3 linked regions of the Danio rerio genome follow. The protein of the gene in region 1 binds, or shares a complex with, the protein of each later gene. Links are inferred from orthologs where the notes say so. Each region holds a gene or a part of one and is shown in the gene's direction. Other genes may lie near its edges. The genes, in order: pex14, pex19 and pex5.

What was found.
Region 2: the proteins of pex14 (region 1) and pex19 are in contact, whole or in part, in an NMR structure (PDB 2W85), measured with the Homo sapiens proteins. The link is inferred for Danio rerio from reciprocal best matches to the Homo sapiens genes PEX14 and PEX19. Residues at the interface, in NP_004556.1 of Homo sapiens: Leu28, Thr31, Ala32, Lys34, Phe35, Asn38, Ser39, Arg40, Val41, Ser44, Thr48, Phe52, Lys56, Leu58; in NP_002848.1 of Homo sapiens: Gln67, Phe70, Phe71, Leu74, Phe75, Ser77.
Region 3: the proteins of pex14 (region 1) and pex5 are in contact, whole or in part, in an NMR structure (PDB 4BXU), measured with the Homo sapiens proteins. The link is inferred for Danio rerio from reciprocal best matches to the Homo sapiens genes PEX14 and PEX5. Residues at the interface, in NP_004556.1 of Homo sapiens: Thr31, Phe35, Asn38, Arg40, Val41, Ser44, Pro45, Thr48, Arg49, Phe52, Lys55, Lys56; in NP_001124497.1 of Homo sapiens: Glu59, Leu62, Val63, Glu65, Phe66, Leu67, Gln70.

The regions. Positions count from the first base shown.
Region 1 is NC_133198.1:31,827,239-31,834,159, forward strand, and holds part of pex14 (peroxisomal membrane protein PEX14), read left to right. Parts: intron 1-4,556; coding exon 4,557-4,659; intron 4,660-6,921. UniProt on the Homo sapiens protein: Component of the PEX13-PEX14 docking complex, a translocon channel that specifically mediates the import of peroxisomal cargo proteins bound to PEX5 receptor.
Region 2 is NC_133177.1:40,110,973-40,118,444, forward strand, and holds the start of pex19 (peroxisomal biogenesis factor 19), read left to right. Parts: upstream 1-2,578; 5' UTR 2,579-2,597; coding exon 2,598-2,841; intron 2,842-4,360; exon of another isoform or gene 4,361-5,342; coding exon of another isoform or gene 5,343-5,420; intron 5,421-5,525; coding exon of another isoform or gene 5,526-5,609; intron 5,610-7,103; coding exon of another isoform or gene 7,104-7,256; intron 7,257-7,330; coding exon of another isoform or gene 7,331-7,429; intron 7,430-7,472. Other genes in the region: tspan37 (tetraspanin 37), read right to left, coding at 5,343-5,420, 5,526-5,609, 7,104-7,256, 7,331-7,429. UniProt on the Homo sapiens protein: Necessary for early peroxisomal biogenesis. Acts both as a cytosolic chaperone and as an import receptor for peroxisomal membrane proteins (PMPs).
Region 3 is NC_133191.1:12,421,360-12,428,280, reverse strand, and holds part of pex5 (peroxisomal biogenesis factor 5), read left to right. Parts: intron 1-52; coding exon 53-196; intron 197-328; coding exon 329-399; intron 400-1,544; coding exon 1,545-1,766; intron 1,767-4,434; coding exon 4,435-4,600; exon of another isoform or gene 4,601-5,322; intron 5,323-5,378; exon of another isoform or gene 5,379-6,921.

The DNA.
Region 1 (6,921 bases):
TTCAATCACTAGCAGCGTGCTGAAGATGCTAATCGTCGCACAAAAAGTTCTAGACTTGCTAAAGGAAAGTAGACGTTTACGTGGCTGTAGGGTGCCATTACGGAATAAATAAATGTTCAAATGGTTTTGATCTTTAATTACATTCTATAACACTGCACTTATTTTTTTTTACTTTTCAAATGTATAAACGAGAGAAAAGTATGAAATGTTAATGCGTGTCTGAGAAAAGCGTATAAAGTGTGTAGTAAGGGGTCTTACAGCATTAAAACATCTATAATAATTTAATTGTATAAAATAATGCTGACTACCTCACAGATTTCATCCTATTGCGGGTTATTTTTAGAACGTAACTCCCATGAATTATGAGGGACCACTGAGTTTCTAAATATTATTGGTTTGCTGAGCTGTGTGAAAATTTGCAAGATTAGAAATACGATTTTCCCAAACTGTAATGGCTGCTCAAAATTCAGCTTTCTAAATAAATTGCATTTTAAAGTATATCAATACAGAAACATTTGGTCTGGCCCTTTGTTGACTTGGACCTAGATATATTCAAGAATGAATGAATGATTGAATGAATGATTGAATGAATGAATGAATGAATGAATGAATGAATGAGTAATTTATTCATTCAATGAGTCAATGAATATATGAATTAATGAATAAATCAATAAAGGAATGAATAAATGAGTGAATCAGTGAATGAATCAATCAAGCAATCAATGGATCAATGAATCTATTTATGAATAAATGAATCAGCAAAGAAATGAATCAATCAGTGAATGAATGAATGAATCTATGAATGAATCAGTGAATTAATTAATAAGTTAATTATTAAACCAATGAATGAATCAATGAATGAATAAATCAATCTATCAATAAATCAATCAGTGAATCTATAAATGAATGAATCAATGAATGAATGAATCAGTAAATAAATTAATGAATAAATGAATCGGTAAATTAATTAACGAATCAATAAATTAATCACTAAATGCATGGATTAATCAACAAATCTATAAATGAATGAATGAATTAAATAATGAACGAATGAATTGGTGAATGAATTAATGAATAATTGAATTATTCAATTAATGAATGGATCAATCAATAAATATATTAATTATTGAATGAATCAATGAACAAACTAATGAAACAATGAATGAATGAATTGGTGAATGAATTAATGAATAATTGAGTTAGTCAATCAATCAATGAATGGATCAACCAATGAATCAAACAATGAACCAATGAAAGGAGTCAACGAAGGAATAAATGAATGAATCATTTAATCAATCAATCAATAAAGTCACTCCTGGTGTGAATGTAAAAGTAAAGTATCACACACATTAAAAATGCTAAATTGGGTTTATAATTACTCTCATTAAAGGGATATAAAATTGTAAAAATCTGAAACCTGATCATCATTTACTCACTCTTCACTTGATCCAAACTTTTTCTTACTGTGGATGTCAACGGCTAGTAATTTCCACATTCTTCAAAAGATTATCTTTTGTGCTCAGCAGAAAAAAAATAAGCATAAAAAGTTTTTGAACCACTTGAGGGGGAGTAAATACTTGAGTAAACCATTTTTGGGTAAACTATCCACTCCTTTTTCTTTTTAGTCCTCTGTGTTTCATACAAACAAACACGCACACAATTTGTGGTCCTCCAGTCCCCCGCGTGCATCTCTGCTGTTCATAGGATCTGTGCCCGTGGCTGGAGGTCCAGTTCCCTGTTGCGAAGCTCTCGCTGCTGTCATGTCAGAGGACCGTCTCACCGGTGCCACCATATGCCCCGTCCTCCTCCTCCTCTACCTTATTTATGCTATAATAGAGCACATTGTAAACAGAGCTCACAGCAGCTCGCTTATTAACTACCCCAGTGTTGACACTCATTCTGATTTTTTCAACTTAAAAGTGTTTATTACTTACGCCGGTGTCAACAACGCTTGTGCTGCTGTGAAAACCTGTTAAGGCCAACTGTTTTCCAGACGGAGAGCCTGCGCATGCACATTACGCTTTAAAGCACCCAGCTATTCACCAAATGCCGTGTTAATCTTCTTGTCTATGTGCTGTTTGTTTGTTGAGAGCAACAAATCGACGTGCACGTTCGGAAATAAAACAACGACTGCGTGAGGAGCTCATGGAAGCGTCAGCCGTGTGACCTTTGGTTCTTATTCTCGGTGTTTGGAGATGTTGTTCTACGAGGCTTAAATCCTGACAAGCAATTGTCCTCAGAAGGTGACATGTTTAAATGGAGAAGCCAGCCTGTGGGCTAAAAGACTTAATGATGTTGAACCCAGAGTCATGCCCCGATGCTTAATTCTCGGCCTCAGTGTCAGCCATTGAGGCAAATTGCTGTGGATGAAGTGAGAAAACCACAAGACTTTTGAGAGGGATTAAAAAAAAATAATAATGAAAGGTCTTGTTTTTTTCAGCATGAATGCAGGCCTATTAATTGTAATTCATATAATGATGTTTTATCTGCTGTTGCCAAACTCAGTGCCGAACTCGATACTGTGAAATCAAGCATCAAGCATAAACAATAGTACCGTGTAAAATTCATTTATTTTTTTCCCCTCCTTGTTTAATATATTGTGTTGATGTACTGTAATCTATATAAAAACATGCTGTGTTTATCTAGCCCGTCATAAATGTAGCTTCAATATTAAATTACTTCATTTACTTCCAGAGAAAAAGCCATTTGAATCTCTGATTCAGACTTCTAGGACTTTTTTTTGTGGTAAAAAGTGATGTAATGATTCACCTAATGCTGCGATACGATACGATTCATGATACTAATATCAAAATACATGATTTTGTCATGATTTTCAACAACTTTTCTCTTTTAGTCTGAAAAACATCTTTACATTTTGGCTATGAAAACACTGATGCGCCGTGTGATCTCCACAACATTAGCACTCGTCGGAGCAAGCGGAGATGCCAATCCCCTGGTCCGCGTGGTTTGGCCTATTAATAGCTTTTTGCGTGTAAACGTCTGTCACAGTAGTTTTTCACTATGCTGCATCATATTTATTGTTCTGTTAGTGTAAGTAAACGTCTTTTTCAGTATTTGCACACAGTTTGTGTTTGTCTGGGGCACCTCACCGGTGTCATTTTAAACTACCGCCCCACCTCTTGCTCGAAAGTTTGCGCCTGTAAACACAGCGTCATCTTCTGTTCAAAAAATGTATTGCAATTCTTTCAACATTTCTACTGGTTTGAATCGTCACGTATTTTAACCGATTTCCAACCTGCTCTTGGTGAATCATTACATCTCTAATTAATTTATTAAATAGAATTAATTATTTAAATAGAAAAATTAAATAAATTACATTTGAATTTAGTGTGAAATTTGTTCTGTAAAAATGTATTTGCTCAATATTCTTTCCCCTAATTGTGATTGTTCAAAAACCCTTGTTATTGTTTCAGAAAAATACTGAATCTAAAAATGATACGCAATAGTTCCTTTATTCATTAAGGATGTATTTAAAGGGGCTCTTGGTCAAAACATTACAGTAATAACATGTTATCAAAGATTTCTGTTGCAAATGAACGCTGCTCTTATAATCTTTTTAGAGTCCTGAAAAAATTAATTAGGATTTCCACAAAATATTAATCAGGTTGAAGCTTGAGATTTTGACAGTTTATGCACAATTAAATGCTAAAAAAAGAACTCGTTTAAGTAAAAAGAAATGTTGTATTCAACTTTTTATGTAAATACGTGTAAAAAAAAATGTTTAAACTGACAAGTCTTACAAATCCATGCAGAATTTAAACTTCAGTGATGTAAAGAACTAGCAATATCACATGAGTATGATGAGTATGATGACATGATACATTATAAAACCAAACAGATCTCTTGAGAGTATCTGAGCCATGGTTGTAAAGGCTCTGCCTTCTGTAAAGGGGCAGAAAACTGCAGCTCATTTGCATTTAAAGGAACACACACAATAGCAAAATGGGCATCTTTAGCATGCTACTCTATTCACCTTATTCTCTGCCGACGAGCGGGCGCTGCCATTTGAATCTTTTTGGCTTGAGACTTCCGGTCTCATTCACTTCCATTCATATTTTGACGTTAAAAACTGCTCATTAGGCTGCTTGATGTTGCAATTTGATATTTTCTAATTTTATTATTCTACTTGGTCTGTATAGTCATGCAAACATTTGTTTGTAGAGCAGGTAGTTTGACCGTTTTCTGCCGTTTATTATTCCTAGTCATTTCTCCCATAGGCGACTGAATCGGAAGTTCTAAGACAATCGCGAAAACAGGCGCACTTCTGCATTTTAGAATAAGGTCAATAAGAAATCTTCTTTCTAGGGCCTTCTGAGACTTGTATTACATCTTGTAAAAAGGTGCAAAATAGGTCCTGTTAATTAATAATTCATAACAATTTTTGATCAGAATTTTTGATTAGTTTTTGTTTAAGCACGCTAACGCTAGTAGATAGCCTTTTGTCTGTATGGTGACATGAGTGAGTCCCAGTCCACAGGCCTGTTTTTCCTGTTCCTGAGAGGAATTCTAATAACGTGCCGTGTTTTTAATTGCAGAAATACATCCTTCCCCTCATTATGGGCAGCAAAGAGGACAAGAAGCATCTGCAGCGGATCGAGAGCAACATCGCGGATATGAGTGGCACGCTGACACAGACAGGTGAAGATTAATATCTTCATCACTTTTTCCTCCTTAACATTTTCCTTCATTTATCTGTCGCCAAAATCTGCTCACATTTTACAAATGACGGTCCTGTCATTTTGCTTTAATTTGAAATTGCTTGTTTACTGTCAGCTCAGCTTCAATTAATTACGTTTCGCTGAAAAGCTCTTAACCTCAGAATATTAATGAGGGGAAGAGGAATGACAGCGTTTCTCTTTCTTTTTTTTTCTTCTTGCCTTCTTAACTGCGTGGCAAGAAAGTTCATTTTAATTTTGGCGTGGTGGTGTGGCTCCCCGGTTGGGCCCGGAGCGCGCTGGTGATTAAGTGTGCGATGACAGGTGCGTCTCCCGCCTTGGACAGGTGAGGAATCTCAGCTCGGCTGTCAGAGAGGGATGCCTCTCCTCCTCCTCCCCCTCTCTTTACCCACTACGCAGCCGGTGTAATTAAACATCCCGGCAACCATGAAAGCGGGACACTTCCCGAAGAAACTTTGGCTCGTTAGTGACTTGCAGCTGGGTGTCGTCTTCTGTGTAAATGACAATTCACAAAGAAGAAGACACTCTTATGTTTTGTTTTTATCATTGTAAAGAAACAATACAAAATGACTCCTGCAGCTTACTATATTAGAGCTTTCATATTCCTGCTTTTGTTCTTAAGGGTTGTTCTTTACTGTCTGAATTTATTTCTTTTGTAGACAAATGTAGAAAAAAAATGTGTCAAGATATTTGAGTTATCTGTTTTTTTTTTTGTAAAGTTTATAAAGTTAAAGGGATAGTTCATCCAAAAAAGAAAATTATGTTGTTCCAAATCTGTTTGAGTTTCTTTCTTTTGTTGAACACAAAAAGAACATATTCAGAATCAAACTAGAAACCTGAAACTACAGATTTGCATAGTATTTGTTGTTTTTTTCCTACTATGGAAGTCAATGGTTACGTTTTTAGCTTTCTTCTATATATATATATATATATATATATATATATATACTGTTTATACTTTTGTGTTATACTTTTGTGTTCAACAAAAGATGCTCATAAACTCATAAAGGTTTAAACTCACTTGAGGGTGAGTGAGGTTATCAATGTTATTTTTGGCGAAGCAGTGGCGCAGTAGGTAGTGCTGTTGCTTCACAGCAAGAAGGTCGCTGGTTCGAACCTCTGCTCAGTTGGCGTTTCTGTGTGAAGTTTGCATGTTCTCTCTGCGTTCGCGTGGGTTTCCTCCGGGTGCTCTGGTTTTCCCCACAGTCCAAAGACATCCGGCACAGCTTAATTGGGTAAGCTAATTAGCTTCATGGGTAAGCAAATTGTCCATAGTGTATGAGTGTGTGTGTGGATGTTTCCCTTCCCAGGGATGGGTTGCGGCTGGAAGGGCATCCGCTGCGTAAAAACGTGGTGGATAAGTTGGCAATTCATTCCGCTGTGGCGACCCCCGATTAATAAAGGGACTAAGCCGACAAGAAAATAAAATGAATTTTTTTTTTTTTTACCATACTTCAAGATATGTCTCAATGCAAGTTTGCGGCAGGATGGGCATCCGCCAGATAAAACATATGCCAGAGTAATTGGTGGTTCATTCCACTGTGGCGGCCCCTGATAAATCAGGGACTAAGTCCAAAGAAAGTTAATGAGGGCATATGGATGCATTTGTATTAAAAATAACCAAATGATATCAATATTAAAGTATTTATTATTTATATTTTTTTTATCAGAGGCTTTAAAACATTTTAAAATAATTTAATGCATTTAATCATCATAACAATTTTTAAAAAATCATAATTTATTAGTAATATTAGTTATTTTTTGTTGTTATGTAAATTAAAGTCCTTTTACTGTATTGTTTTTTTTTATACCTATGCATATCATCACTTTATTACCTTATTTTTTTTATTTAACTTTACTTTTTTAATATTCAATTTTTTATTCAAAGTTTTTACTCTGAAAAGAATGCAAAAGTGAATGACTCAGTGCTGTTTAAAAATAAAGATAAATACAATCTGACCACAGGTGGTTCTTCCCAGTCTGGCTCAATACCATGTAAACATTTAAATTTGGAAAATTGTTTCTATAGAACACACGGTCTGTAAAGGCGAAACAGTACATGCAAAACAGGCACTCATGACTTAAAATAGATAAAAGACCAGTTGTCATGTATGAAATGGACGTACCCCGAGTATGCTTGCTGTTTAGCTTTATTAATCTTGGCATTATAAAATCATGGAAATAAACTGGATGTACAGCAATAACTTCAGATCTCAGTCTAGTT
Region 2 (7,472 bases), on another chromosome or scaffold:
AACCATCGGCCATTAAGAAGTGTTGTTTCAGCGTGTATTTTTAGCACCTCACTTTGAGTCTATTCTGCCTTCACACAAATCTGAGAATACATGGTGTTCTTTATAAATAATAATGAGCTTTTTTCCCCTTAAAGAAACACTTCTGGAAATGGGAAAAAAACTCTAAAAATGCAAATACTGCAATGTCAATATTACATGTAGTTATTTGCAGATTTTCCTGCACTTACAGATAGGCATAGGTCGGTATAAGTTTCTGATGGCAAGATAACCTTTAATAGAAATACCACTGTACTCTAAAATAGGTACTTTTAAATATCTGAAAAACAAACGAAAAAAAAAAAAAAAACAGTTCACCATTGAACAAAATAAATTTTATTTTGGGAAACATTTCTAATATTTGAGCTGTAAACATGTCAGCCTATACAATAAAAATAAATCATTGATTTCTGCTCCCTTCATTAGTTTCAAACTAGGGCTGGGCAATATGCAAAAACGCAATCTTGATAATTACTTTCTATATTAAACGATAACGATATATTTTTTGATACAAGTTGTTAATGTTTCCAGATTTAAAAAGAGTATCTCAACAATGACTGAAGCCATAAAAATTAGTTCAAGAAATAGCAAAAAAATTTCGGCAGATAAATTTTCAGTGGCTGAAAATTCAATACATCTCTAATACAGGGTTTCTGCAGGTTTTATCAAGTTAAATTTAAGAGTTTTTAAGACGTTTTAAGACAATTATGAATAAAATTTTAAACTTATACAAGGTAAATGCTAAGAATTTTTTGGAATATGCCAGAAAAAGATTTTCACTTGCCTAATCAAAAAATTTTCAGAATTGAATACATTTAATACAACAATAATAATTAAATAATAAAAAATATAGCTTTGGTCAGTATACTCTGCAGTAAATAAATGCAAAACTACTAAACAAATTTTACTGGAAGTAATAAAAAAACATTGTTAAATGGCGTTAAAAATGCTATATTTAAATAAATAAAAATTGTATTGAGATTGTTGGTGATTGTATGAGCATACATTGTTGTATGCTCGTATGTTAATGGCCAGATTGGGAAGATATACGTGAACAAAAGAAAATTAAGACCTGTTATAAAAAAAAAAGATTTAAGACCCACAACACAATATATTGGTAGATTTAAGACTTAAGGCCAAAAATGTAGCTTTTGGAATTAAGGACATTTCAAGACCCCGTGTTAATAACAACACACTTTTAGATTACCATTATTGCATTTTCTGCTGTGTGATCGGCTCTTAGATCAATATAGAGTGGAAAAAAGTCCAGAGCTTATTATTATTGACTAATTATCAAGATTTGATTTAATATAGATTATTAACCCAGCCTCATTTCAAACACAGATTTCTTTACTACACATTTATAAAAAACAAAGAAAAAAAAACCCACCTTGACCTTTCCAAACCTTGAAACTGGTTATCATCCCATGCCTACTTACAGACCTATGTTGTCTTACCTGTATATTATTCCTCAATGGCTTTTTATTGTTGTTTAATGGTGTTGAATGTAAGTATTGTTGTAATTATTCTTCATTTTGTAGAATTTTGTTCATGCATAATTTACACTATACAATAAATTATTTATTCTACACATTTGCTTTCCTTTCAACATAACAACAGTGAATTTCTATTCTACAGACCTCTCCAGAAGTAGAGATGAAACTGTCCACAAATAAAGGCGTATAATCATAAATAATCATAAATATTACCCAAATTGTATTACCACATTTACACAAATGTAAAATACATTTCATTTCTCTCTTCAGACCCACATTGTCATGGCAAAAAATCTCGCATTTTGTGAAACATTTTTCAAGTACACAATACGTTATACATTCCTTTTCATAAAGAAATGAACAATTATAATCATAAATTAAAGCAGACAACGTGAGAAAACATTTTCTCTCCACCTATTGAGTGAACAAAGCGGCTCCAGGTACAGTTCGGTATCATTTCATTCATTTGTTCACGACACAATTTATGCAACATTTAAGGCGGTGGACGTTACTAAAAAAGCACTGGAATAAAAAAAAACACTCGCTACACTTTTCTGCCTCTGTTAGTTTCTCATAAATGAAACAAAGAGTTTTTGTAATTCAGTCTAGTCGTGGGGGCGTACATTTTACAAGCCGCCCGCAGCAGGACGTCGCTCTTCCGGTCATGCTGGTGTAAGATTACCTCGCCATTGTTAAGGTTTCGTCTCTTAGCTACAGAAATACAACCTTGTAGAATTACACAGCATGCTTAAAAATGTAAGTAAAGGCTGCAAAATATATCTAACATCAAAACAGCATCCAACACGAGGCCTCAATCCCCACACACCGTCCCCGTATTTTCGCGATGACTCGTCCTGTAAATCCCATGCAACTCTCGAGTTCAAACTCGAGCAGGCTGCGCTAAGAGGCCTAACCCGCATAAAGCCAGGCCTCAGACACCGAAGGGGTTATAACGTTACTAAACCCTGATAAACACGATTAAACGCAACTTTAAAGACATAAACACACGTTACATGTATATTTGGACCCTTACCGACTTCAACGTCTCTCCGAATCTGCAGATGAATGAACGCACGCGGAGCTTTAGCGGAACGTGGCTTTTTGGCGCTGCGCTCTTGTGACACAAAAAACACGCCACAAGGGAGCTCAGCAGAGGAAGCGGAAGTCTCGACCCCTCCCACATTCGCAATCCATTCAAATGCAGATAAACCGCCGCTTATGATACAACTAGATAGTTTTTACGTGTTTTTGTCTCTTCTATTGTCGTTTTTCCATTTCTTTTTATTTGGGGGAAGATTTTACAGCACAAGTAAGTAAACATGAAGCATCTAAAGAATCTCCCGTCATGATGCGAACAAGACGAACACACTCAAACGAGGAATAAGAACAAATAGCAAGAATAAACATTGTAGAAAATGACAAAAAATACAGTAGATGAATAAATACGTTGACACTGGCCGATATTTGATATAGTCTAAATCAGGCTCGTAGCCAGCCTGGTGAAAGGGATGGTTTTCTTTTTCTAAAAAGTGGACCTTTTTGCAGTTATTCGCTTCATTTTCTTTTTAATTGTGAGGTTTAAATGCTGATTTAGAGATATTTTAAGCATTATTTTAGCTGGATTAGCTTATCAGATGGTCAACATACCACACTTTTTGATGTACTAAAAATATTTACTAAAGATTTAAAATGAAGAAACATGAAGAAAAAATACTTATTTTTAACTTAATATACTTAACTTTATTACCCTAACTTATCCTATATAATTAGAAAAAAATGTAATCTGTTAAAGTTTTAAATTTAAAATGGTTGTCATTTATTAGGCAAATAACAAACTGAGCATCAAATTCAATTTCCTCAGGCAGAATTTTTCCATTTGAATATTGAATCATTAAAACAGTAATGATAATAATGTAGAGCTTGACAATTTTCCAGCCTCTTTTGTAAAAAATAGTACATTTGAAAATTCATCGATTACAACAATAGTCAAATCATTATTATAATTAACGTCTAGGTGCTTTACACTTTTTTATTGGTCATTTTTTCTTTCAAAAATAAGGTTCAAGACTTAGAATAAAAGTTCATTGTAAAATGTTTTTGCTATTTAACAACAATACAATATGTCAGTGGTGAAAGATGACTTCATTTATGACACATTCTGCTTGGTCTTAAAGCTATTGATATCTTAATTTCACAATTTATGATGGCTTAGCAATCAAAATGGGACAAATGAGCTCACGTATGATACAAAATCTGGACCTTTGTCTGTGGGGGGGGTGGGTCTTTCGAACTACACAAATCCACTCTGGCTACGGGTCTGTAAGTAGTTGAAGCTCTGAAATACTTTCACAAAATATAATTAGCATTTTTTTCTGCTGACCCAAATAAATGTGTGATATTTGCCCTGCAATGAAACAAAATTCATGATACAGGAAAAATGAGAACTTAAATCTGATTTTAAAAATGTTGTCTTGTTGAACAATGGTCTATATGCACAGCTGTTTTTCAGCTAATGAATTTCCAGTGAAAGGTGTATGTGACTATTTTCAGTTTCATACGGTTCTTTTTACCGCATCAATGTCGTAATGTGATTCAAATATAATCGGTTAAATAGACTTAAGCATTCGTTTTGGTTGTTAAAGAGTAAAAAGGGATGTAAGACCATTTAAATAAAGGTAGGGGCCGTCATTAGCAGCAGGCTAGCGCAGAGACTCAATTGAAAATACTGTGGTAAAATAAATGTTTTAAAGACATGGCTGTGCAGTGCTTCTCATCCAATCTGAGACCCACTTTATCCCGGATATCTATCAGGCAGTGATGATCACAGATTTTTCAGAGTTTAATAGTTTTATTGATTCTCGGGCAAATTTCAGAATGGAATACAGTATATAACTCTGTAAAGAACCAACAGTTTACCCTATTAACAAACCCAACCCAAACTAATCCCTAACTACGACTTTAAGGTCTCGGCTTAGCTGTCATTAAATACAGTTAAAGCCTCCATCTTTATATAATAAAGAGAAAATAAAATACAATAAAAAAAATGAATAGGTAAGTTCAGTCAATAACATATCACAGTTACACTGTCACAATCAGTATGTTTCTCACACATTTATTACTATTCCATTTACAAACAGGTTAAGTACTTGGACCAGTTTTATAGTTTAGGTTTAGCTTTAGTCCATTTGCTTATAAGACATTTTCTTCCAAATGTGGCCACTCTAGCAAGTTCTACCGGCCATTTTTGAAGGGAAGGGGCATCCTCTGATTTCAAACTCATGAGAATTATTTGTCTCCCAATCAGCAAACTGGTTTGGACCCAGGATTTTATGTCTTAATTTTTTATTTCAATGTCTATCCAACCACCTAACCACCTAGTATAGTCTAGGGCATAATGTGATATAAAAATCTACAACCAAACAAATGTGTTTATGAACTCTTTTCCAGAAATCTAGAATTTTTTGTACAAGACCATAGAGCATGAACTAGATTCTGGCTGACTGAAATTAAAAATCTGTGTGCATATACCCCATTGTCTTCATTTTTACCAACAGCCAGCAATGCATTTGTAGCCAACATTAAAAAACAAACAAATTTTTTATTCAGTAGTATCTATTTTATTGTGCAAAGTAAATGCCTTGGTGTGTAAATAAAACATCTATAAAAATATGAATAGTCACACCTTAGAAATTCAGGAAAACATGGAGTGCTTTATGTATTAGAATAGATAATAACAAGTGATATATAAAAAGACATTAAAATGTAATATGCAGGCATTTAGGAATATTGTTTAAAGATATTTGGATGTTTTTAGTCCTGGTCCAGAATTCGATACTCTTGTGGGACTGGGTATCTCATTAGCTGTCCCACTGTAATCCAAGACAATACCTAAAGTGGGGAATGGTTAGAATTGACATCAAATCTATACACTGTAAATATATTATACACTTCAATAATAAATAAATGAATTATTACTCAAATCACAGAGCTCACCAGCAAAACAAGAACCACTAAAGATGTTATGTGGATGATGTGCACCACAAGTAGTAATAGCTCCTTAAGTTTAACCTGACAGGCCTGGAATAGAAAAACAAAACAAAATGTGATTGTTGATCATAACAAAGTCATTCATTTATTTTCCTTTGGCTTAATCCCTTTATTCATCAGGGGTCACCACAGCTGAATGAACCGCCAACTTAGCCAGGATATGTTTTACACATGCTAATGCCTTTGAAGCTGCAACCCATTCAGGATGTACGTGACTTTTTTTCTGTAGCAGAACATTAAAGACCAAAATGTACTGTCAAGGGCCACAGTTTTAAGTTAACAGATTTCTAATAAATTCTGATTGCCTGTATGTCATTTTTTGACTCTTGCCAAGTGTCAGAAGCAGTTAACTTCCTTTATTTAGCTTTAAAAATCACCAAGGATTACAGGTTTAGCTAACATTCACTTCTTTACTGTTATACTGAAGCAAACAAGTCACATATACATGTTGGATGGTCTGAGGGTGAGAAAATTAACACAATATTTCCTTAAATATCACAATGTCTAAACAGTTTAAATACATTTTCCAGATAAAATACAATCAAAAGTTTTGTATTACTTTCAGTCGTTTGGGATGCAGTGACAATCAGCCAATTATTTTGTGGAACAGATCCACAACTTTTGATGTTGATATATTATAATATAAGTCCTTGTGTTGCACGTGTTAAGAGGTTTGCTGAAGGTGGCAGCTGACGTGCAGCGAGAGGTTTGCGTCTTTAAAAAAACTATCACAGTTCGTGTTTGTTTAAAAGGAAGAATGATCAATAAATCCATATTAAACAGTCCCTTAAAAGTGACGTTGTATCTTCGCTTTCGGGCTCAGCCGCGCTTTGCACTCACACTACAAACATACCGCACCAAAAGTCCAACTGAACTGCGCTCTGGCAGACCTCTTCCAACCGGGCCAGGGCCAACCAACTGAATAGCACCTGGACCCGATTGGGAGCACTCAAACTTGTCAAACAAACCAGAAAAATGTGCCCAGGCATGGTATGGACACCCTAGTGTGAGTGCACCTTTAATTAAAAATATCTATATTCCGATTTAACATTATATACTCCATAAACTTATAATAAAAATGGATAAGTTTCTTCTTATCTTTTAAAAAAATATTCATTCATTTTTCTTTGGTTTAGTCTCTTTGTAATCAGGAGTTGCCACAGGAGAATTAACTGCCAACTATTCAAACTAGACCAACTTCCAACTAAAATAGTTGCCAACTTCCAAGTGCCCTTCCAGCTGCAGCCCAATACTGGGAAACAGTTTAAAAGACATCAAATCATCAAAAGAAAAAATATATACATTACAGTGTGGTATAGTAGTTTTAATAAAGTAGTTATAATAGTAGTTATAACAAAAAAAAGACAAAATACATAGATGAATTATTCTAATCCATTACTTCAGAAAACAGAATTTAATGCAATAGTACTGCCTCAGCTAAAACTCAGGAAATCATGGAGAGACAAAAAAATAGGAAAATATTTTTTAGATTATGGGTAGCTCAAAAAGAATTAGTGACTGTACCTCATTGTAGAGAAGCATGGGTGCATCTAAAGTCCCATTGCACGAGTGAAAGGTTGTGTTGCAGCAGCTTTGAGGAACATCATATTTCCCACTGTGATTAAACCAGGGCGTTTGCAACCAATCTGTGTAGTTCATGACACCACAACACTGCAACTATAACAAAAAAAATGATCACAATCTGATTTTGCAAACAAACAGAATTTCTAGAAATGCCATGATGCAAATACCTCACTCTGGAGACGATCCACTGCTTTGGTATCCGGATCTTGACTGTTATTACTGTAGTTCTGAAACACATCTTTAAGGGGTGCCAACTCTGCATCAAGCTTGAAAAAAAGACATGTAAAATATTGTAAAAGACACTGTAGT
Region 3 (6,921 bases), on another chromosome or scaffold:
ATATTTGCTTTTAAATATTGCTTCCAAATGCCTGCTTTCTTACTTTTTTTAGGGATATCAGTTTGAGGAAGACAACCCCTACCTGTCCCATGAGGATCCGTTTGCAGAAGGGGTGAAGCGGATGGAGGCGGGAGACATTCCTGGAGCTGTGCGCCTTTTCGAGAGCGCCGTTCAGAGACAGCCAGACAACCAGCTGGTCAGAGACTCATACTTATAATCCTGACATCCAAAACTCATGGCACATTTTATCTCTGGGGATTCTGACAGTGCTCTGTTTCCTTCTATGTCTTTCTGAAACGCTGACTGTGCGTGTCTGACGATACTGCAGGCCTGGCAATATCTGGGCACCTGCCAGGCGGAGAACGAGCAGGAGTTTGCTGCGATCAGCGCCCTCCGGAGGTAGGAAATATATCTGCGTCCGAGTGCATCTGCTTTGGTTGGCTAGTGTCAGTTCATAGATTGCAGTCTGTCTCCTCTGTTATGTTTCCAAAATCACAAAACTTTTGAAATATTTTTGTTTTTAGAGACATTGAAAATGCATGGCGAACCATTTATTCATTCATTTTCTTTTCAGCTTAGTCCCTTTATTAATCTGGGGTCGCCACAGGGGAATGAACTGCAAACTTATCCAGCATATGTTTTATGCAGCGGATGCCCTTCCCAGCTGCAACCCATCTCTGGGAAACATCCATACACACTCATTCACACTCATACACTACAGACAATTTTAGCCTACTCAATTCACCTGTACTGCATTTTTGGGGAGATTCTTCTCATCCACCAACAGTGTGCAGCATCCACCTGGATGACGTGACTGCAGCCATATTGCACACCACACACCAGCTTGGTGGAGAGGAGAGTGATGAAGCTAATTATGGTATGGGGATGGTTAGGAGGCAATGATGGACTGAGGCCAGTGGGCAAATTTAGCCAGGATGCGGGCGTTAAACCCCTACTCTTATTCGAAGGACATCCTGGGATTTTTAACGACCACAGAGTCCCCATCAATATACTGGGGCGTTAGGACCCACACAAACTGCATGTAGAGCCCCCCCTGCTGGTCTCACTAACACCACTTTTGGCAACAGCCTTCTCATATGGTCTCCCATCTAGGAACTGACCATGTGAGAGTAGTGGTGACCGTTCGTTTGTTCGCCCGTTTGTTTGTTTGTTCGTTTATATTTCTATTTATTTTTATTTACTTCTTTGTATTTATTGTTGCAAGATTTTGATTGATATTTGGGTTGATCTTTGCAAACTTGTGATTAATAATATTTATTATGTCTTCATTACTGTTTTTTTTATAATTTGGAGATACTTTATATATCTCCAAATGATAAAAGGTATTTTTTTCATAATAACATTTCTGTTGTATGTTTTATTTGTGTGTTTTTATTATAAAAAACAGTTGTAATGCACCACCTAATGAATTACTTAATAAAATATATTTAAACGCATAAAATTCTCCCTACTTGTACCGATCTGATGTATTAAAACAGTGTGCACTTTGTTTTTTTATGTAAAGTCTCCATTGTTGTTTTCAGATGTATAGAGCTAAAAAAGGACAATCTGACGGCTCTAATGGCTCTTGCTGTGAGCTTCACCAACGAGTCGCTTCACAGACAGGCCTGCGAGACGCTCCGGGACTGGTTGAGGCACAACCCCAAATACAGAATCATCCTGGAGCAGCATGAGCGAGAGAAGCAGAGGGAGGGGGCGAGGGAGAGAGAGAAAGAGAGTGAAAGATTTGGATCCCTTCTGCCAGAGTAAGAGGACTCCTAAAGGCTGTTCAGACACATGCTGGATGTATAAGATGTACATTACATGAGTGCAGTAGACAAAGAGCAACACTACGTTATGATTTTTGCACCACACTGAGAACTGAAGTTTGTACACAGTCCTGTACATTAATATCTTATAAAGATAGTAGTCATAATACATTACCTGACAAATGTCTTGTCGTCAATCCCAGTTGTAAGAGCAACAAATAATAACTTTTAGTTAATCATTTGGAAAAATGGCAGAACTTAGATTTTTTCAGTGAATGTAAAGAAGGTCAAGGTGCTCCAGGATTGGTCAGCCCAGTCACCAGATATGAACATTTATTGAGCAAGTCTGAGTTAAGATGAAAGAGGAGGCATTGAAAATGAATCCAAAGAATCTTGATGAACTCTAGGAGTCCTGCAAGAACGCTTTCTTTGCCATTTCAGATGACTTTATTAACAAGTTATTTGAGTCATTGCGGAGATGTATGGATGCAGTCCTTCAAGCTGATAGGGGTCATACACAATATTCATTCTTTTTCCATGATTTTATATTCTACTTTTGTTAAGAGACAAGACTTTTGTCAAAGCAAAGTCAGACCTTACTGTCTTAATTAATAAATTAAAAATTTAAGCTTGATTATATTTTATTATGGTAAAATAAGTGTAATCTAGAGCCCTTTGCCTTTCAAATAAGCCACTTCTGATACCAAATGATAAACTAAAAATCATGTTAATTTCTTTTTTTTTTTTTGTTAGGTTTTGTAGACAGCAAAGACTTTTATGTTGTTTTACTTTTCGTCAAAATTTTAAAACAATACAAATCTAATGCTAAGCAGTACAATAGCTTATAACATTGATAATAATAATATTAATAATAAAATATGTCTCTTAAGCAGTAAATCAGCACATTAAAATGATGCGATAATAAAAAAAAATGATACCGTTTGACCTTTACAGGGAAATCATATATTGAGCTAAAAAAATCCTAATGTTTTTAATGTAAAAAATAAAATAATTGAATTATGAAGTTTTTAAATTACGAGGGGAAAAATTACTTATTGAATTGTGAAGTTGTTATTATGTAATAATGTCATTTTTTTAAATATGGATCTTGCCATTAAATTGCCATAAGTTGCTGATGTGGCAATAAATAATCAAACATAAAAATCAAAAACCTTTATGAGAAAATATATGCTTTAAAAATTTATTAAAATTAAAATAAAATATTACGATTTGTAAATATATTAACACAGTGCTCCTGATTACACATTGATTACCTTCTTAAAAATGTAGTCAGTGAGAATGTAGAATTATGTTCTATCTGACATTTTTTTCAAAATTGAGTTATTCACATATTCTTATTAAATGAAAACTTATTTACATTATGGGATGTTTTTTTTACACTAATTATTACATTTTAAGACTTTTTATTTAAAAAACAAATGTTACACACATACTGTTTCCTATGGAATACAAAAACTGTAAAGCTCATTATCTTAAAATCATTAAGAATGCAGATAGAACCTTATAGTTCCAAGGTGACGACATAATCTATTAAATGACTCCCTGGCGTAATGTATTCTCATTACTTGTGAATTACCTTTAGATTACTTCTGACCTAACTTGTTAAGAACATAGGCTTAAATGTAGTTGTTGTTATAAAACAAACAATAATAAATGATGTTTATTCCATTTTTTGTTGACATCATTAAGACATTCACTCAATTTTACAATATGCCAGGATATGTCAAATTTGGTTAAATGAAAGATTGATGGGTTAATGAAAAGCTAATAATTAAATTATGCAAATGTAAAACTAAATGTCTGTGCTCCAGTGTCACATTTACATTAAAACAAGTCATTATGGATGATCGGAGATTGATTAATGTGAAAGCTAAAAAAAATCTTGGCTATTATAATTTTATTCATTAATAAACATATTTTAAGAATCATAAAATAAGTAATAAACACACAAAATTATGACGTGTCATTTTGGCATTCAGTTCACCTTGTGTGTTACTGTAACCATAATATCTGCTTAACAATAAACAAACTTGAGTAATGAGACAGAAATTTTTTTCGCAAATATGCCACAGGTGTTGTTAAAATACTTTTTTAAACCCTGTTCTTGACTATTCGACACTGTGCGTTGATCAGATGTGTATTCAATTCCAGCCGCCAGTTTTCAACACATTTGTACATCAGCTGGAGACATGCAGAAGTCACTGGACTGGACATTGTAACCAAGCAAGAGATTTACATTTGTCACAATCATAAGCGAGCAGTTCCTCTAAAAATACATCTAACACAAACACAGGTGTGTCTTTACATCTGCACGCAGCATTGTGGCCATCTGAAAATACTCTGCAGATCTTAAAATAGTTTTTTGAACGACTCTGGATTAATGACCTGATGCTACTTACCATTTCATTACAGACCTGAATGATCCTTATGGCCTTTTATTCCTAATAGCACAAAAAGAGGACTTTAAAGAAGATTGTAAAACAAAAATGAGGACGACATGAAAAAAAGGCCCTTGAAAGTGTTACTGTACAAATGACTGTATTTTGACTTAGGATAGTTTTGAATATCAGAAGGGTTTTGAAACAACATGAGCTTTAATGATGGTGTGTATTTGAATTAATTTATGTGAGTTTGTTTCTCTTAGAGCACTGTTTGGTGAAGTGCAGACGTTGTTTCTGAATGCAGCGGCGGCTGAGCCCTCGCAGGTGGACCCGGAGCTGCAGTGTGGTCTGGGTGTTCTCTTTAATCTGAGTGGAGAGTATGACAAGGCTGTGGACTGTTTCTCTGCCGCACTCTCTGTCACACCACAGGTTTGTTTTCATTTACACCTAAAGAGTGGTTTCACCTAAAAACCATCTACTCACCCATTTACTAAAGTTTCAACTGTATTGTTTTAGTAGTTAATTAGTTTAAACATTTAAAATAATAACTTATTGACTTGAAAATATTCCCTGCTTAATAGATATGTCATTTCTGGGTCTAATTTTAACTTGCTCTTCACAAACCCAGCCCCACTTTTCTATCTCCCACAAGATTTCAGTATCAGCCATGGTGCTCTTCTATCAGTTTGTGCACTCCCCAGGGAAATAGAGAATCATTTCTGGGAAAACAGAAAATAAAGGTACAAGGTCTGCAACATACAGGGAATTATTTGATATAAGCATAACTCAAAATGAAAAAAAAATGACTGCAGCTATAGCCTATAAGTCTAGTAATGGGAAGTTCGAATCATTTGAGTATAATTTAAATGTTACAAACTGATTTTCTTACATGTAATTCTCAAAAACGCAAGCAGTGTCATCTTAAACAAATCTATAAAGCATCTTTGAGTTTATTGACCTTATTCTAAAATGCGGAAGTGCGCCTGTTTTCGCGATTGTCTTCCGTTTCAGTCGCCTATGTGAGAAATGACAAGGAATAATAAACGGCAAAAAAACTGTCAAACTACTTGCTCTACAAACAAATGTTTGCATGACTATACAGACCAAGTAGAATAATATAACAAGGAAATATCAGTTTGCAACATCAAACAGCGAAACAAGCAGTTTTTAATGTCTAAAAATGAATGAAAGTGAATGAGATCGGAAGTCTCCTGCCAAAAAGATTCAAATGGCAGCGCCCACTCGTCAGCAGAATAAGGTCAATAAGAGACAGGAAAGATTAATTCATTGTATCTGGGCCTCCAGTCTATGTGGTTTGAGTTAGCTCATCTTACTGTTCATCTTCTCAGTCCTAGGATAGTTTGCTGGTTATTGTAAAAAAAATTAAGTGATGGATTGATATTTTTTTATTAAAAGCCTAATAAATCATAGATTCATCATGTTGTTTGCAACCGTTTTGCTCAACTCTGCACACTAAGAAAGAAATGCCCAGCCTGAACAAATGGAGCAGTTGCTTTTTTCCAGATATTTATTGGGTCCATTTGGACAAAGCATGTTTATTTATTGAAAAATTTAGGCCTGAGGTCACTAAGGCCCCGTTTACACTGCTAGTTAAATGTGACCCTATTCCGATTTTTTGCTCATATGTGACACAGATCAGATCTGTTCTATGACCGTGTAAACACGAAAAAACGCATGCATTCGGATATTAAGAGAGCGGTTTCAGGCCTCCTTCATATGTGGAAATAAATCAGATATAGATCGGATATGTGACAATGCGATTGTCATGTAAACAGGCAGATCGGATTTATTGAGGCATTTCGTTCTGTTCATCATTAAACTTGCGACAATGTTGTGCTTCCCCACGGTTTAATGACAGAAGGAAGAGCGTGTGTGGAGATGCCGACGCGGTAAACAACATCAGAGGAAACACAGAGGAGGAAAGTGGTCAGTCGCCACAGTTTGCTCCCTAAAGACTTGAGATCTCTCTCGTGCGATAATGGCCCTTTCCCAGATTCTCCTCAAAAGCATTTTGAAGTTGGGCGAACTTCATGTTGTAACTTTTTGCTTTTTGTGGCTATTAATACATGCAGGCTTCACATAGAATAACTTTATTCTCTCCAACACCAGTACGCACACAGGAAAAGGCTACATCTGCAACTATACACACACACACACACACACACACACACACACACACACACACACACACACACACCAGGGCCATACTATTACATAAACTGCTTTGGGGTAAATCCAGACTAAACCATTCACTGCTTTTACTACAACTTTGCATATTTCGAAGAGCTAAATAAAAGACAATTTTTTCCATCGTCCATTCGGCACCTCTTGCTCTGACTCGGCATCGGCAAGTGTTATCTGGGCCGAGTATGGCCCGCAGCTCGCTCGCGCACATGCGTTTGTGATACGGCGGTAAAGCACTGGCCTGATTCCTGTTAACCACTGTAGCGAGGCAGAGGGAAAACACATACACAGTTGCGTTGGTTACAAACAAGTCCCCTGAGGGTGCTTTATTTACAAAGTGAAATAGTGTAAATATGGTGCTCTTCTTGGTGTTGGTGCTCGGGTGCTCCGGGGAGAAGGTGAAGGATAGTGAGAGTTCGGGTGCTGGATCGTTCACGAGCTGGAGTCCGATGTGGGAGAGACAGAGAGACACAAGCGTTAGTGCAGGGAGTCATGTGTGAATGAAGCTCGTTTTCCTTGTGTGTGGGGCTGGCTTTTATGTCTCT